Caenorhabditis elegans: one gene and its partner. The protein of the gene in region 1 interacts with the protein of each later gene in a pairwise test. Each region holds a gene or a part of one and is shown on either strand. Other genes may lie near its edges.

Evidence for each region.
Region 2: the proteins of Y34D9A.3 (region 1) and elt-7 interact in a two-hybrid assay, tested with the Caenorhabditis elegans proteins (one large-scale study listed by BioGRID).

Annotation. Positions count from the first base shown.
Region 1 is NC_003279.8:1,032,633-1,040,962, forward strand, and holds Y34D9A.3 (THO complex subunit 2), read left to right. Parts: upstream 1-1,810; 5' UTR 1,811-1,840; coding exon 1,841-1,865; intron 1,866-1,912; exon of another isoform or gene 1,913-1,914; coding exon 1,915-2,012; intron 2,013-2,058; coding exon 2,059-2,247; intron 2,248-2,299; coding exon 2,300-2,431; intron 2,432-2,488; coding exon 2,489-2,612; intron 2,613-2,671; coding exon 2,672-2,764; intron 2,765-4,679; coding exon 4,680-4,819; intron 4,820-4,873; coding exon 4,874-5,081; intron 5,082-6,420; coding exon 6,421-6,540; intron 6,541-6,582; coding exon 6,583-6,662; intron 6,663-6,705; coding exon 6,706-7,249; intron 7,250-7,481; coding exon 7,482-8,014; intron 8,015-8,065; coding exon 8,066-8,131; 3' UTR 8,132-8,230; downstream 8,231-8,330. Other genes in the region: spd-1 (Protein regulator of cytokinesis 1), read right to left, coding at 1-241, 296-580, 633-803.
Region 2 is NC_003283.11:4,766,849-4,775,178, forward strand, and holds elt-7 (Transcription factor elt-7), read left to right. Parts: upstream 1-3,821; 5' UTR 3,822-3,865; coding exon 3,866-3,987; intron 3,988-4,865; coding exon 4,866-5,151; intron 5,152-5,204; coding exon 5,205-5,290; intron 5,291-5,935; coding exon 5,936-6,038; 3' UTR 6,039-6,238; downstream 6,239-8,330. Other genes in the region: C18G1.9 (FERM domain-containing protein), read right to left, coding at 1,073-1,139, 1,183-1,319, 1,369-1,951, 1,997-2,115, 2,667-2,763, 2,810-2,847. UniProt on the Caenorhabditis elegans protein: Transcriptional activator that binds to the consensus sequence 5'-[AT]GATA[AG]-3'.

The DNA of each region.
Region 1 (8,330 bases):
AAGACTGCAACGAGTCCAAAAGCCGCTCAGAGAACACAAATTCCGGGGAATCGATGTTCTTCTCCAGCAAATTCTTCAAATCATCATCCCCGCCGATATAGTCGGCCACATTCTGCGCCATACTCTTCCACTGCGAGATGTCGGTCTGGAGACGCTCGATTTGGTGGTAGCGGTGTTTGAGGAGCTCCTCCATCTCACTGCAGCTTGCCGAGTACTTCTCGAACGCCTTTACTGGGAAGAGCTGAAATTTTAATTTATTTTTATATACTTAAATAAAAATGCGGCTTCTGGTTACCGCATGAATCTCATATTCGAATTCGAAATCCGACTCCAACCGCTTCTTCAAATTGCAGATCTTCTCGATGAGCACACGCTGATCCTCGTGTCTCGTCTGGAATTCTGTCTCCAAACTTTTCACTTCCGACTGCAAATGTCTCATCAAGGCGATCGAGCCGTCCTTTATCTCGGCGGGCCGCTGAAAATCCTCCATTTCCAGCTCGAGCCGCATCTTTTTGACATTTTGCATGTCCTCGCGAATGCTGACCTTCAGATTGTGGATCATCTCCTTCTCGCCGGATAGCTGGAATTTAAAAGGAGATTTTAAGTGAATTCTGGGTATTTTAGGCTTTTACCATATCATCACAGAGAAGCGTTATGTGCGTGAACGCGTTGTCGACACGCTTGAGCCTCATTGCTTCCGACATGTCCACCTCATCCCATAACGCTGAGAGTTCTCGCATCGTGTCGCGAATCTTTCCTTCTACAGTTGAGTACGCGTCAACGACGCTGTGCCTTCGGGACATTCTGAAATAACGAAATTAATTTAAACGGTATTTAAGTCGAATTTTTTACGCAAAAAAACAAGCATTTCACGTGAAAGAGGCAACAAATTAGCATATTCTCCAGAAAAAAGTGAGCTTTTTCAGTCAAAATCCTGCTTAAATCTCGAAAATCTTCACCAAAAACAGCGAAAATTCGATAAAAACTCGTTAAATTCTCGATCTCCAGTTTTTCGTGGCGAGACCCGTGCCGGAGGAAAATGCCTGCGCCTTTAATTTTTCGTTAATTTTAAACATTTTTGAGCAGGTAACTGGTAAACAAAACTAAATTGGTTCAATATATTTCAAAAAAAAAATGGATTAGTGCCGAGATTCTGAAACATTCATGAAAAATTGCATTTATTCCATTTCTGAGCCGAAATTTTCCTTTTTTTTTCAGGCAAAAAACCGAGCATATCACGTGAAAAAGCAAAAAAAAACGCATATTCTCTAGAAAAGGTGGGATTTTTACTTGAAAACTTGCTGAAATCTCGAAAATCTTCACAAAAAACTGCGAAAATTCGATAAAAACTCGTTAAATTCTCGATCGGCTTTTCGTGGCGAGACCCGTGCCGGAGGAAATTGCCTGCGTCTTTAATTTTTGAGCAGAAAATTGGAAAATTTTCGAAAACAAAACTATTAAACAGCACAAGCACCGTAAATTGGCTCAATCATTACATATATTTCTTAAAATTATATGGAATATTGCCGAGATTCTGAAACATTCCGAAAAATACATTTATTTAAATTTTGAGCTGTAATTTTGCGATTTTTCGGCAAAAACCCAAGAATATCACGTGAAAAGGCAACAAATTAGCATATTACACACGAAGAAATCAAGGACAAAGAGGCAAAGTGCCGCATATTGGGCCAGATTCAAATAATTGGCAGAGTGCCAAGTTTTGAGTGTTCAAATTTCAAATCTCCCTCGCGCGGGTTTCTAGGCCACGGCCACCGAGGCCCGCGCGTTTGAATTGATTTTTTTTTTTTAGGCGAAAAAAAATTCGGGTTTTTAGCAAATAATGCGACGGCGACGGTGTATTCCAGGTTTTTTTTTTTGAAGAAAATTTGTGAAAATTAAAAGATTTTATTTTAGTTATCAACGATATTACCGAGGGATTTGCTGCCGAAGAGCTGGAATATGCAGTTTTCGACGAATCTCTCTTCACATCGATTTGGAAATCGCCGGAAAGAGTAAAAATCCGCCAAATTTTGCCAAAAAATTGAAAAATTCTTGCAGCTATCGAACGAAACAGACTTCCATCTGCTTTTGACAGCGCTTTCCCGTGAAATCGCCGCTGAAAACTACCAGGAGCCACTTTTAATCCTAAAATTCATGAAAAAAACCGCGATTGGGCAGGATGAAGTGATAAATCGAATTTTCACATCATTATTGAAGCAAATTTTACGAGATGAAACGAGAAAAAAGGTTTTTAAACCAGAAAAAAAATTGGATTTTAATGATTTTTCGAATTTTTCAGCTGGATCCTCACGTTGTGCTGGATTTTTTGGACGCCGGCGACAAGTTATTCCTTGATTCTGAAACTTCAAAAAAAGCATATGCAATTCTAAAATTGTATTTTCTCTGCAGAAATCGAAAATCCAAGCTAGAGGTTGGTGATTTTCCGCCCGGAAAACTGAAAACCCGCCGAAAATTCCATTTTTTCCAGTGTTTTTCGTGCGGTTGTGTGCAAAAATACTTTATCGAGCTCTACAAGGATGGTACGAGGCTTCACGAGGCGTTAAACTGCCTGATAAAATCAAAATTGTCGGATTCGCCCACAATTATCGAACGTAAGCCCGAAAAAGTTTCGATTTTTCTGAATTTTCTCATTGTTTTTTTTTAATTTCAGGGCTTTTCAACGCGATGACGGTGATTTCAGCGATAGAATATTTTGAATATTATATAGAATTACTCGGAGAGCTTCAGAATTGCTCGGTTATTGGTAAATTATTGATTTTTTTTTGAAAATCTGAAATTCTGGAGAAAAATTCAAATTTCCAAGGAAAAATTAATTTTCGCTTTTAAAATTTTGCTGAAAACTGATTTTTTGCACTAAAAATTTCAATTTGAAGAACAAATGAAGAAAAATGGTTTTTTTTTTAAAGCTAAAAATTGAGCTTAAGCCATAATTTCTTCGAAATTTCCAATTTCTGAGTGCCAAAATCGCAATTTTCAGACAACAATTACTGAGTTTTTAGGCCAAAATACCGATTTTTAACGGAAAATTCAATAATTTTTCAGCCAAAATCGCAATTTTCCAGGCAGAATCAACTTTCATGGTTTTTTTAATGGAATTTCCAATTTTTGAGAGCCAAAATCGCAATTTTCAGAAAAAATTTTGAGTTTTTAGGCCAAAATCCCGATTTCCAAAAGGATTTTTCGATTTTTTTCAGCAAAAATCGCATTTTTCCAGGCAAAATCAATTTTTGAGCTTAAAATTGAGCTTAAACCACGGTTTTTAATGGAATTTCTAATTTTTGAGAGCCAAAATCGCAATTTTCAGGATAAATTTTGACTTTTTAGGCCAAAATCCCGATTTTTAGAAGGATTTTCGATTTTTTTTTCAGCAAAAGTTCAGGATTTTTCAGAACAAATTTCAAGTTTTTAGGCCAAAATCCCGATTTTTAAAAAGATTTTTTGATTTTTTTCAGAAAAAATCGCAAATTTCCAGGCAAAATCAGTTTTTTCGCTTAAAATTATATGGTTTTTTATGGAATTTCTAATTTCTGAGAGCCAAAATCGCAATTTTAAGCACAAAAATCGATTCCGTCTGAAAAATTGCCATTTTGGATGAAAAAATTCGAAAAATCCTTTAAAAATCGAGATTTTGTCTTAAAAACTCAATTTATTTGTTCTGAAAATTGCAATTTTGGCTTTCAGAAATTAGAAATTCCCGAAAAATTATGGTTTAAGCTCAATTTTAATCGAAAAAAATCGATTCCCCCTGGAAAAATGCGATTTTTGCTGAATAAGTTCGAAAAATCCTCTTGAAAAAATCCCAATTTTCGAAAAAAATTGAGTTTTTAGGCCAAAATCCTGATTTTTAGAGGAAAATTTGATACTTTTTTTTTAGCCAAAATTGCAATTTTCCCGGCCTAATCGATTTTTTTGCGCTTAAAATTGAGCTTAAACCATAGTTTTTCTGGAATTTCCAATTTCTATAAGCTAAAATCGCATTTTTCAGAACAGATTTCGAGTTTTTAGGCCAAAATACCGAATTTTACAAGGATTTTTCGATTTTTTTCAGAAAAAATCGCATTTTTCCGGCCAGAATCAACTTTTGAGCTTAAAATTGAGCTTCAACTATGGTTTTTTATGGAATTTCCAATTTCTGAGTGCCAAAATCGCAATTTTCAGACAACAATTATTGAGTTTTTAGGCCAAAATACCGATTTTTAAAATGATTTTCCTTTTTTTTTTTCAGCAAAAATCGCATTTTTCCAGGCGTAAGCGATTTTTTTTTTTGCTTAAAATTGAGCTTAAACCGTAATTTTTCTGGAATTTCTAATTTCTGAAAGCCAAACGCTCAATTTTAAGCGAAAAAAATCGATTCCGCCTGAAAAATTGCGATTTTGGATGAAAAATTCGAAAAATTCTTTAAAAATCGGGATTTTGTCTTAAAAACTCAATTTATTTGTCCTGAAAATTGCAATTTTGGCTTTCAGAAATTAGAAATTCCCGAAAAATTATGGTTTAAGCTCAATTTTAATCGAAAAAAAATCGATTCCGCCTGAAAAATTGCGATTTTTGCTGAAAAAATTCGAAAAATCCTTTTAAAAAATCGCACTTTTCAGAAAAAAAAGCTTGTTTTTAGGCCAAAATTCCGATTTTTAATAGAAAATTTAATACTTTTTCAGACAAAACCGACGAAAAGCCGCCATCCCGGCTCATTCAACTTCTCGGATTATTGTGTGAAACGAGGCTTGAAGATATTCCCCGAGCGTGCTCAAAGCTCATTTCTCTACTGGAACCGGTGAACGAAAAAGAGCAAAAGAAGGTTTTCTGGAAGCCGAGCTCCGCGGAGCCCCAAATATCAGAATTTTTTTTGCAGAAATTCTCAATTTTGGAAACCGTGTTGAAAAGCAAGCTTCTGCCTCGAATTTTCGACAATTTGATGGCTAATCCGCTCGCTAAGCTTGATTTAAATCGGAATTCTGTGCAGAAATACGTGGAAATTATTGTGAACGAGAAGTATTTGTATGCTCTGGAGGCGAGCGTGCTTTTCGCCCCGTTGCAGCTTTTAAATCGCATTTTTCTAGGTAAATTTGACTAAAATCTCCGTTTTTTTTCACTGAAAATCGATATTTTTGATGATTTTCTGGCCTAAAAATTGTTAAATTGTTAAAATTGCCCATTTGTCGATTTACGGGACTTGCGTGTACTCCTCGAGGAGAAGTCCCACCTTTTTTTCGATATGCGCCTTCAAGGTTACTGTAGTACATTTTTATTGATTTTTTTCAAAATTTTCAGAAAAAAAAAGTCAAATTTATATATTCAGGACCCAAGAATTAGGAAAAATTATTCAAAAACAGGAATTATTTGACATTTTTCTTTAAAAAATTCAAAAAATCAATAAAAAAAAGTACTACGGTAACCTTAAAGGCGCATAGAAAAAATTCTTGAATATCAGCTTTTCGTTTTGAGACCCGTATGTCGCTTTAAATCTATTTTTGTCATTTTTCATCGATTTTTCCTCAATTTTCTTCCAGAATTCATTGAAAAATGTTATATTTTACTTTTTTTCGCCGATTTTTCCAGATTTTTTGTGAAAGCTGATAATTCCGACATTTTTCGCACGTTTAAACCGGAAAAAAATGGAAAAAACGCGAAAAGTCAATAGAAATTAGCTACAGTAACCTTAAAGGCGCACACTTAAAACCTTAAATCCTAGATTTTCGTTGCGAGACCCGTAGGTCCATTTAAATCTTTTTTTGCCATTTTTTTATCGATTTTCGCCCAAAATCGTCGTTTTTACCCACCACTTCCGTCGTAAAACGCAGAAAATCCTAAAATTAACGTAGAAAACAGCAAATTTGAAGAATTCGGTGGCAAAATAGGGGAAATTCAACGAAAAATTAACGAAAATCGCCGATTTTTACGTTATTTTTTTGCAAAATCTGATTAATTCCGACATTTTTCGCACGTTTAAACCGGAAAAAAAATGGAAAAATCGCAAAAAATCAATAAAAATTAGCTACAGTAACCTTAAAGGCGCACACCTAAAATTTTAAATCCTAGATTTTCGTTGCGAGACCCGTGTGTCCATTTAAATCTATTTTTGTCGTCATTTTTATCGATTTTTCCTCTATTTTCTCCCAGAATTCATAGAAAAATGTGATTTTTCGTCGTTTTTATCGAATTTTTCATTACATACGGCGATTAGGGTAAGAGAATTAGCCAAAAACTCTGATATTCTTTTCCTCTCGGAGTACACGAGCTGCGTAAATCGACACATGGCCGTGTTGGAGGGTTTTCTTTGAAAAAAAAACCATTTTTGGTTGAATTTCCGGGAAAAAACAGAAAAAAACGGTTTTTTTTAAACCGAAAAAGGCCAAAAAACCCCCCATTTTCCCACCAAAATAATCTGAAAAATTGCAGAATTCGATGCGTTCGCAAAATCGTGGCCAATAATCAAAAATCGCCTGGAATTGGTGACAATCGACGCCCCACAGGCATCGATTTTGCTCATTTACGTGCTCAGTTTGATCTATAGAAATGGTGATTTTCCCCTTGGAATTCCATTTTTTGACCGAAAAATAGACATTTCAGAGGCCATACTACTCGGCGAATTCGATTTGTATCTGGAAAAGCAATTTCCAGGTGCTTCTGTGGTTGGAAAGGTAGTTTTTTATTAATTTTTGGACTAAAATTTCAAATTTTCAGCGGATTATCATCATTTTCTTCGATATTATGAAGCTCCTCGGCGCCGAAAAACCAAAAATTCACTCTTATTTCAAAGAAAATCGCACAAAAACCAAACTTCTCATGAACTCGGAGCTCGAGCTCGCCGTTGAATATCTTCGAGATTTCTCGGATTACGAATTGAACTGGTTCCTACAGCAGAGAGCTGACGAGGATTTTCAATTTTTGTTGGAAACGGCAAAAAATCTGCAGGCGCCGGTGAATTCCGACGGATTTTGGCGGAATTCGCTGGAGAAATTCGATGAAAATTCGATTATTTTCATTGAAAATCAGCTGAAAATCATGGCCACACGAATCGATCGAAAAGGATTAGCACTGAGAATTCAACAAATTTCACAAAAAATGATGCAAAAATCTGGAAAAATCGAGGAAAAAACCGCGATTTTCATTAAATTCCCGCAAATTTTGTTGGAAATTGCCGATTTTTCGATTTTGCCACCGAATTCTTCAAATTTGCTGTTTTCTACGTTAATTTTGGGATTTTCTGCGTTTTACGACGGAAATGGTGGGTAAAAACGACGATTTTAGGCAAAAAACGATAAAAAAATCGTTAAAAAAAATTGCAAAAATAGATTTAAATAGACCCGCGGGTATCGCAACGAAAATCTAGGATTTGAGAATTTAGTTGTGCGGCTTTAAGATTACTGTAGCTAATTTTTATTGATTTTTCGCGATTTTTTCAGTTTTTCCGGTGTAAAAACGCGAAAAATATCTTTTAAAAAAAATTTTTTTTTCAGAAGCCCAATTCAACGACTTATTTCGTCAATTTCTCTCAAAAACGATTCCCAACTCGACATGCACGTCTCCAATGGAAATTATTGAGGAAATTTGCGAAAAAATCCGAATAAAATCCAATTTTCGCCACTTGCCAGACATTTCATTCTTGAAACCCAATCCCGACACGATTATCACACAAATTTCGGAGATTTTCGACACGAAAATCGCCAAAAACGACGAACGAATCGTCGAAATTTGCTCGATTTTGTTGGAAAAGCTGGCGCCGCAACTTCAAGCCTTCGGAGATCGTGGCAAGACCCCATTTTGTCAAATTGTGAATATTATTGTTGATAAATATGTGAAAAATTCGGTGGAACCCGTCAATTTTCAACTTTTTCGGGAAGTTTGTGAGCGAGCTGTCGACGGATTTGCGATGATGACAGAGCAATGGAATTTCCTGTTTCTTTCCGCAAAAATCCTGACGATTTTGAACTTGACGCGGCGGGAAGCGGGCTTATTCGCTGTTTTAATGAGAAAAATCAATAAAAATGAGGTAAAATTAGGTTTTTTTTAATAAAATTCACAAAAAATCGATTTTTTGCAGATTCTTCTCACAAAACTACGCGGCAAGAAGGAATTTGTGCAGTTGGAGGGCTCTTTGGAGCTATAAATGAAGAGAATTTTGGGTAAAAAGCTGGTCAAAACTACACGATGGACGGGCTTTATCGATTATTTTGGAATTTTTTTTTGTTGAAAAAATAACATTTTTAAATTATTTTTTTGTTTTTATTGAAAAGAGTAACAATTTTTGGCTCTGAAATATTTTTTTTTATTCGAAAAATTTTTTTTGTCGGACAGGTTCTGGATTT
Region 2 (8,330 bases), on another chromosome or scaffold:
TAACTTAAAGTTATTTTGATGGAACATTTTTTTAATTTTAAAGTTTATTTTTTGTTGGAAAAATCTGATTTTTTTAAATCGCGATGGTTGGAAAAATATTTTGATGGTTACACTAACACAACTCCAGAATCATTCAAAATCTGCTAAAACAATTTTCACGGGCCCTGAAAAGGCGCAAAAATGGACTGACTGAGAAAAAAGTACATACAAGAGCCTTTGCAGATGACCTGAACATTTTTAAGTGAAAAATAGTAGAAATATCAAGAAAAATGTTGTAATTATAAAAAACTAGTGTGAAGTGTGGCAACTCGAACTGGCCGAAAACTAAGCAAAAGTATTGCATATAGGAAAATTTAACAATCGAACCCACAATACCGGTGCCTTGTTGCCAGTACCTTGTATTAGGCCACAAAACTAGCAGCTGCTCAAAAACCCAAAATCTGTGAATTTGGTTAGACCATCAACTATCATTACCTATATATAAAAAAATAGTGTCCGTTTGTTAAGTAGTTTGTAGTCTGTGACGTCATAGCTTACAAAGGCAAGGCGTTTTCGGCTGTTGGAGGGATATTAGTTTGGGGTTAATAGGGGGATATGGGCGCGGTACTGTAGTAGTACTGTAGGAGTACGGTAGGATTACTGTAGTTTAGGAAAAACTGTGTTTTTGTCTTTTGAGGGAATATAAGTTTGCGGTTAGTAGTGGGATATGGTCGGGGTACTGTAGTAGTACTGTAGGGGTACTTTAGGAGTACTGTAGGATTTGTGTAGTTTGAGAAAAATTGACTTTTCGTATTTTGGAGGAATATTGGAAACATCGAAAAAGTTTTGGAATTTTCTAGAACCTTCTGGAAAATTCGAGAAAATTCTGGAATGTTTCAGAACCTTCTGGAAAATTCGAGAAAGTTCTGGAATTTTCTAGAACCTTCTGGAAAATTCGAGAAAATTCTGGAATGGTCGTGGTGAGACCTATCGTGGTGAGACCCATCTTGGTGAGACCCTTAAAAATTTGGTCTTCATAAACTTAAAAAACAACGGGTGAATAAATGAGTTTATTATTAAAATTAGGAGGAGTTCATAAGGTATCGCTTTCATAACCACTGTCACTGTCCTTTTCCGCGCTCCCAACGCAAATCATTTTTCTGAAATGATTCGATTAAACCTTCACCATTCCTCTAAACTAACCTCGTTTTGATTCTAAAGGGCCTCAAAGGTTTTACTGGTATGACTCTTGGCATGCTCGATTTGACTGGAAGAAAGATGTCTCCTCTGTGGACTTTGTTCATCAGACTTGTAAGCATCAGGCATGTAATTTCGAACTGCTGTAAAAAGTTAAAGTATAACCTAGAAATGAGAAAAGTTGGAACTTACACCGGTGACATCTGCAGTTTTGAAAACTTCATGGAACACGAGCTTAGTTACCGAAACGATGAAATCCGTAATATCTTCAAACGATGCAACACAGAGAACACTTCCAGCTTGTCCTTTAAAATGCATATGAGTGTCGAGAAGAATTATTGAATTTGTCGGGCGATCGTAGATAAAACACATGGCCCTTTCGAAAGCAAGCACTCCAATTGCCAATCTATCGAGTTTCGAGAGATACGGACTGTTTACAGCCATCGACATAGCTGTCACGAGATTGCTAATAAAGTCTCCAGAATAGCATGGGTAGTCAATCTCATGCATCTCGGGCCGCTGAACTTGAATAGCTTCTGGCACAGTGAACGTGTCTCGATGTGGTTTCTTCAAAAATTGGAAGACTGAACCACTTTCCCCTGTCTCTTCAAGATGCTTCTTTTTTAGACTTCCACTGAATCCTCGTCGTCGAGCTGCCATAGCCTTTTCGTGTGTCTCATTGCCATCAACAATTCCGTTAATAAGAACATCGAGGACGCCAAGTGGAAGATGTTGAGGTGTCAAAGGATGCGTGGGTGGGATACAGACGTTCTTGCTAAAAGATGGATTTACTTTTCGATCGCACTAAAATTTCACAAACCTCAAGAAATCGTGAGCAATCTGGACAGTGATTATTGTGCAAGCAGATGAGGGAGTCTTCCGGCCACCATATTTCGATTGAGAATAGCTCAGTGGGAGTGCCCACACGTGGACACGGTTCTGAAAATTATATTTGTTTATGTTACGGTAGTGGGTCTTTTTAGGTATCGTATCCGCAAATGTTCCTCAATTTTTCACTAAAAACACATTTTAGCGCTATGAATTTGGTGAAAGTCTAGAAATAGACGATTACGAAAACTTGTGGTGTACGGTAGCTGAAAGGTTTCAATCGTGCCGAGACCAGGTACAGTATTTCCGCGCACATATTTCTCCATTTCCCCGTACTTTTGGTTTTTTTTTTCAAAAACCCGGAGTTTTAGCGCTATTAATTGCGAAAAGTTGAGCGAAATTGCAAAAGTACAGTGTATTTGTTTCCACTTCTACGACTTCAAAAGAGGGCGCATTCATTCAAAATGGTCTCGTCACGCGCCATTCATTGATTTTTGAAGCGCGTGGCGAGACCAATGGGTGGAGCGTGGCGGGACCATTTTGAATAAATGCGCCCTCCTTTAAAGTCGTAGAAGTGGAAAAAATAAACTGTAGAGGTAATTTTGAAACACATGCGGGTACTGTAGGCACAAAGTTCCGATTATAAAAATCGGGATTCATACCTCAAACACTGCCGATCGGAAATTCGAATTAGCCATCTTATACCAATTTTCTGCAGATTCCTCATTTTGTGTGGTGTAAGTAATTTCGTGTCGAGATCTGTAGCGGTTAACTGAGAACTCGTAATTCTAATACCTTATATTACCTCCGAGTTGTACTCAATCCTGGTCTCGAGACGCACATTGGGGGTTAGTCGGTTAGTTGAGAAGCCGCGAATGCTAGTAATTTGAATAAAAATAATGAATTTAAAATCGCCTCTCACAGTTCTGAATTCTTATCTTTTTCCAAATCTACACTTTTTTTAATAGAAAAATACAGTTTACGTAAAACTACATTCCATGTTGATTTTTCAAGCATTCATTTTAAATAAATTATATGTATTTTAAAAAAAAACACGTTAGAAATAGGCTACCGATAATACAAGAATTAAATTATAAACACTATGCACTCTCACAATCAGTTTATGCCCCTTTTGCACATTACTTCAACTTAAAAAAAAATAATTGCACACTTCCTCCAGGACACAGCATTTCAACTTGGAACAAGATTTCCCATTCGCGACAAATTTGTCCAATTTGCCATTTGTTAAGCTCGGAATACTCTAAAATTTGCCTTGAGTTTAGAAGAAAGAAATGAATGAAATAACACAAAATTTTGTGAGTATCTTTAAAAAAAATTTTTTTTCCAGAATGCTACACTTTTAAAGCTTTTTCGTCAATTTTGTGATCCAAAAAATAGTTTTAAAATATCGAGATTTTCCGGGTTCGCCGACCAGGGCAAATTTGTCAAATTTGCCGGTTTTGCCGGACTCTGCAAATTTTGAGATTTGCCGCACCCCCCCCCCCTCTTTCCCATGTTTCCTTTTTTTGCTCGTCCACTGGCACACAAGGCATAGGTACATGCATCTCTGACTTACCACTAATTTACGACTATCCATAAAAGTCCCAAGTCATATTTACTTTCGTTCTCCTTCCCTTTAAGAACTTTGCCGTCCAGGTTCATAGTCATTATATCATAAACTACTAATGATGGGTGGTGAGCCACACACAGTTCCCCATCACCACCGCCGCCGGTCTATCTTATCACTCTGACCTTTTTTGTCTCTTTCTCTAGGATCTCTCCGGGCTCTTTGTTACTTTCCTGCCTGTAACAAAGACAGACATTTGTGGTTAGAGTTGTCTGCTCTAGTCGACTGGAAAAAATGCTCCCTGAAACTACTACTCTTCAACCACTTCCATCTGTTACGACTATCATGAATGAGCCGCCAGCGAGAAGTCCAATGGAGGACTATTATTTATTTAATCAATTTCAATATAATCAAAAGTAAGTTTTGAAATCAAAACTGTTTTATTGCAGTGCATAAAAATGTTGCATAATGTAATTGTATTATTTTTACGGCAAACTTAAATTGAAATATTCACTATCAACAGAATTATATGGTTTTTACATTACTACCAAAATATTACTTTCCTGTAGTAATGTATACAAAAACAACAACTTTGTTCCAACATGTGACCAAAACTATGTTTTATTGAACTCATGTAGCATAACTGATAAAAATCAATATCGAATGCTCCAAAGTATACTGCTTATAATCAGTAGTTTTCAGTGTTTTTGAGAATAGGAATCTTTGAGAATTATTATATTTTTTAAGGTTTATTATTATAATTTGAGAGTCTGAAAAACGAGTTTCATGCTGGGAATGGCTTAAAGTGTATGACTTAACATGTTTCCTGTTTGGCAATTGTAGGTAATTTCCAACTTTCTCTCAAAGTTTAACAATTTCCTACAAAGCAGTTAAAAAATTCTGTCTACCTTTCGTAACTTTCTTTCAAATGTTAACACTTTTTGCAAAATTTTTGCAACTTTCTGTCAATCTTTGGACATTTTCTGACAACTTTTTGCAACTTTCTGCCAACTTTTGATAGCTTTCTTTTAAAGTTTAACAACTTTTTGCCAACTTTTGGCATCGTCCTGCCAAGCTCTGGCAACTTTTTGACAACATTTGGCAACTTTTTTCCAACTTTTGGCAACTTCTTGCAAAACTTTTGGCAACTTTCTGACAAATTTTAACAACTTTCCGCTTAACTTTTCCTGCCAAATTTTACCAACTGCTTACAAATCTTTTGCCTAGTCTCCTGCACCACAAATGTACTACAAACTCAGCTCAGCTTGAGAGAATAAAAACTCCAACTTTTCAGTCCATATGTCTACCCACCGCAGCCCGTGTACTACAATACTTGGCAAGATGCTTCAACTCATCACTTTGATCCATTCCAGAGTTATCAAATTCCATCTCCATACGAACAACCAATTCAGTCGTCAATGTGTACTACTCCATTACAACCACTTGAAGATTCCAGAATTATTTTTGATGAAAGCTTGACGAAAAATGAAAATGAGCAAAAATCCTTTGTGGAGCAAGATAGCAGTTACGAATCATCTGGAAACCGATTTGGTTCACAGAAGGGAAAGAAAATTGCAAAAGTAGGATTCGAGGGTTTAGAATGAAATAAATATTTCTATATGAAATTTTTCAGGTAATTCGTGATGCGTGCTGCTCACACTGCTCAACAACTACAACCACACTTTGGCGTAAAAATGATGAAGGGAATCTTGAGTGCAAGTAAGTTTATATTTTATTATATTCTTTTATATTATTTCTACCAGGTGTGCGCGGCAACCGATTGTTTTTCTGGCAAGTCGGCAAATCGGCAAACCGGCAATTTGTCGATTTTCCGAATTTGCCGAAAATTTTCGGCAATTTGTGGTTTTGCACATTTTTTTTGGAAATTTCCGAATTTCAATTTTAATCGGCAAAATTGTACGCATCCTATGAATGTTCCTACATCTATTCTGAAAAGTAAGCAAGTTCTGTGAAAATATCTAAAGAAAACGGAGAAAACATTTCAAAAATGCACAGTTTTAAATGTTTCCGTCTTATAAAAAATCCCTCTAAAAACAAAAATCATCAATTCAATTTCCGAAAAATCGGCAAATTGTCGGAAATGAAAATTTCCGGCAAAATGGCAAACCGGCAATTTATCGATTTGCCAAATTTGTTGACAAAAAAATTTGCCGAATGGCACTTGCCGCCTACCCCTGAATTTTTTCGAACATTTAGAACATTTACATTCCAAATCAAAAATTCTCAGTTGAACTTGCTTATAATTTTCGATTATTTTTTAGAATTTCGAATTTAAAATTTTATTAATTTTAATGACTAGTTAAATATACATCATTAGTTCCACTATTAAAGTAATATTTTCAGTGCTTGCAACTTGTATTACCGTCACAACAAAGTGAAACGCCCGTTATCCCTCTGCAAGCAGAAGCCAACTACTCGAAAGCGGCGTCAAGCAAAAAAAGAATAGACAAGTTTGGACTGTATCGCCATTTTTCCAGCATATTACGTATCCCTCTACATCAATTGTACCGTGTTCTATGCGCTGATTTGTATTCGTTTTTTAAAAAAGATTATATATCTATGTCATCTTTTCCACTGATATTACCATATTCAAACATTTGTAATGTCAACTTCATTATTATTTTTCTTAAATAAAACGTTAGAGATACTACTTATACAAATATTGTTACAAATAATAATGTTGAAAGATTCTATGATAAGATGAGAAATTGGTGATATGTGGGATATTAATACAAAAGTGGGCTTTAATGTAGAAATTGAAACGATGAGACCAGGGACAGATGAAACCATCAATTTCTATATTCTGCCAAGCAGCCTCTAATAAATGCCGAGTGTGCAGACTCCGCCCCTCTTTCGCGTTTTTTTGGCTCGCGAAAGAAGGTAACACTACGTTTGGCTTTACAGCGTCACGAAGTTGTCCCAAAGTTGTCACAAAGTTGTCACAAAGTTGTCACGAAGTTGTCACGAAGTTGTCACGAAGTTGTCACGAAGTTGTCACGAAGTTGCCACGAAGTTGTCACGAAGTTGTCACGAAGTTGTCACGAAGTTGGCACGATGTTGTCACGAAGTTGTCACGAAGTTGTCACGAAGTTGTCTCGAAGTTGTCACGAAGTTGTCACGAAGTTGCCACGAAGTTGTCACGAAGTTGTCACGTAATTGTCACGAAGTTGTCACGTAATTGTCACGAAGTTGTCGAACACCAAAGTGCAACTGCGGCGAGCTATGGAAAAGCAAACTCAGTTACAAAGACTTCCTGGAGAACCTAATATCTAAAAATGTCCAAGTTGAGGTCAGAGAGTACAACAATAGAAGGCTAAAAAAGAGTCCCATAGGGAGGAGATGATGATTGAAGTCTCACTGAATGACGAAATTGTGGAAAAGGACTAGTGACTTGTGACCGCAGCAGATTCACCAAGCTGTGTGAGGAGAAATATGTTTTATTGCTCAGGTTTTGTGTGGAATTGTACCAATAAGATTCGAAATACGTGGGTTAAGAAAAATATTTTGTTGTTAGAGAACAATAATTTAATTTGAAAGGCTGCAGAAATTACAAAGAACACTCAAAATGAAAGGAAATTATTTAAATATGGCTTTTTGTGTTTTGGAAAAAAAAAATCCAAATGCATATTGCAAAAAATTTATTTAAGTTCTAAAGATAGAGTATCCCGAGTGATAAGTTATTTTTAAAAAACCAAAAGGTTTTCGATTTCTCAAAATTTTCATTCAAAGTTTGACCAAATATGCCAAAATTTCCTAAAATGGGAATTTTTTTCGAGAAATGTCTAGTATTTTTCGCGCAGTGTCGTTCTGTCCCTATGTATTTTGAACTTTGATCTCTGATCTTTGAACTCTCTTTATTGTAGTTGGGCAGGTTTTGGGTTGGGAGCAGGGCTGAGCAGCCGCCCAAAAAAATCGGCGATCGGCGATCGCCGATCGCCGATGGAAATTTTTTTTATCGGCAATCGGCGATCGCGGATCGCCGAAAAATCACGAAAATCGCCGATTGCCGCTCACCCCTGGTTGGGAGTTGGTGTGGGATTATGTTAAGGTGCTGTAGTAGGTACGGCAGAAAAACTGTAGGATTACTGTTAGTGAGGGATAATGCCAAGATACTGTAGGGTTACGGTTGGGTTGTTGTAGTTTTGGAAAATTTGAATTTTTAGCTTCAATATTTTTTTTCGTCTATGAATTTTCTCAAACAGAAATATCCCAGAGAAAAGATTATTTGGTTGTACTGATAATTTATTTTTTAAAAGCTTTACAATATTTTGGCAATCCTACAAAATGATCTATTGCGGCATGTTGGTTCAATATTATTATTTCTGAAAATTTAGCGTTAAAAAATAGAAAAATGTTTGATTGATTTGAAAATAACTGTTTTATCGATTTAAAACGGAGAACAAATGCTCAAAAGTTTTAACAAAGTTGCTAATTGCCGAAATTATTTCGCTTTTGGCATAAGCTTTTTTTGAGTATCATTTTAAAATTTCAAATTATAAAAATGCTATTTTAAATCATTTGAATGTTTTTTATCTATAGGGAAAATTTCAGAAAAAAATATTGGACCAACCTGCCGCAGTCGGTCAAATAAAAGCGATGGTACTGAACGTAGATTATGTTTCCATAACTCAACGCAGCCGACATTTTCCGAGTCTGTTTTTGATTTTTACATAAAATCATATTTTTCTACATTTTTTAAATTTTTGTGCAAACCCCTCAAAAAAAACCCATGCCATAT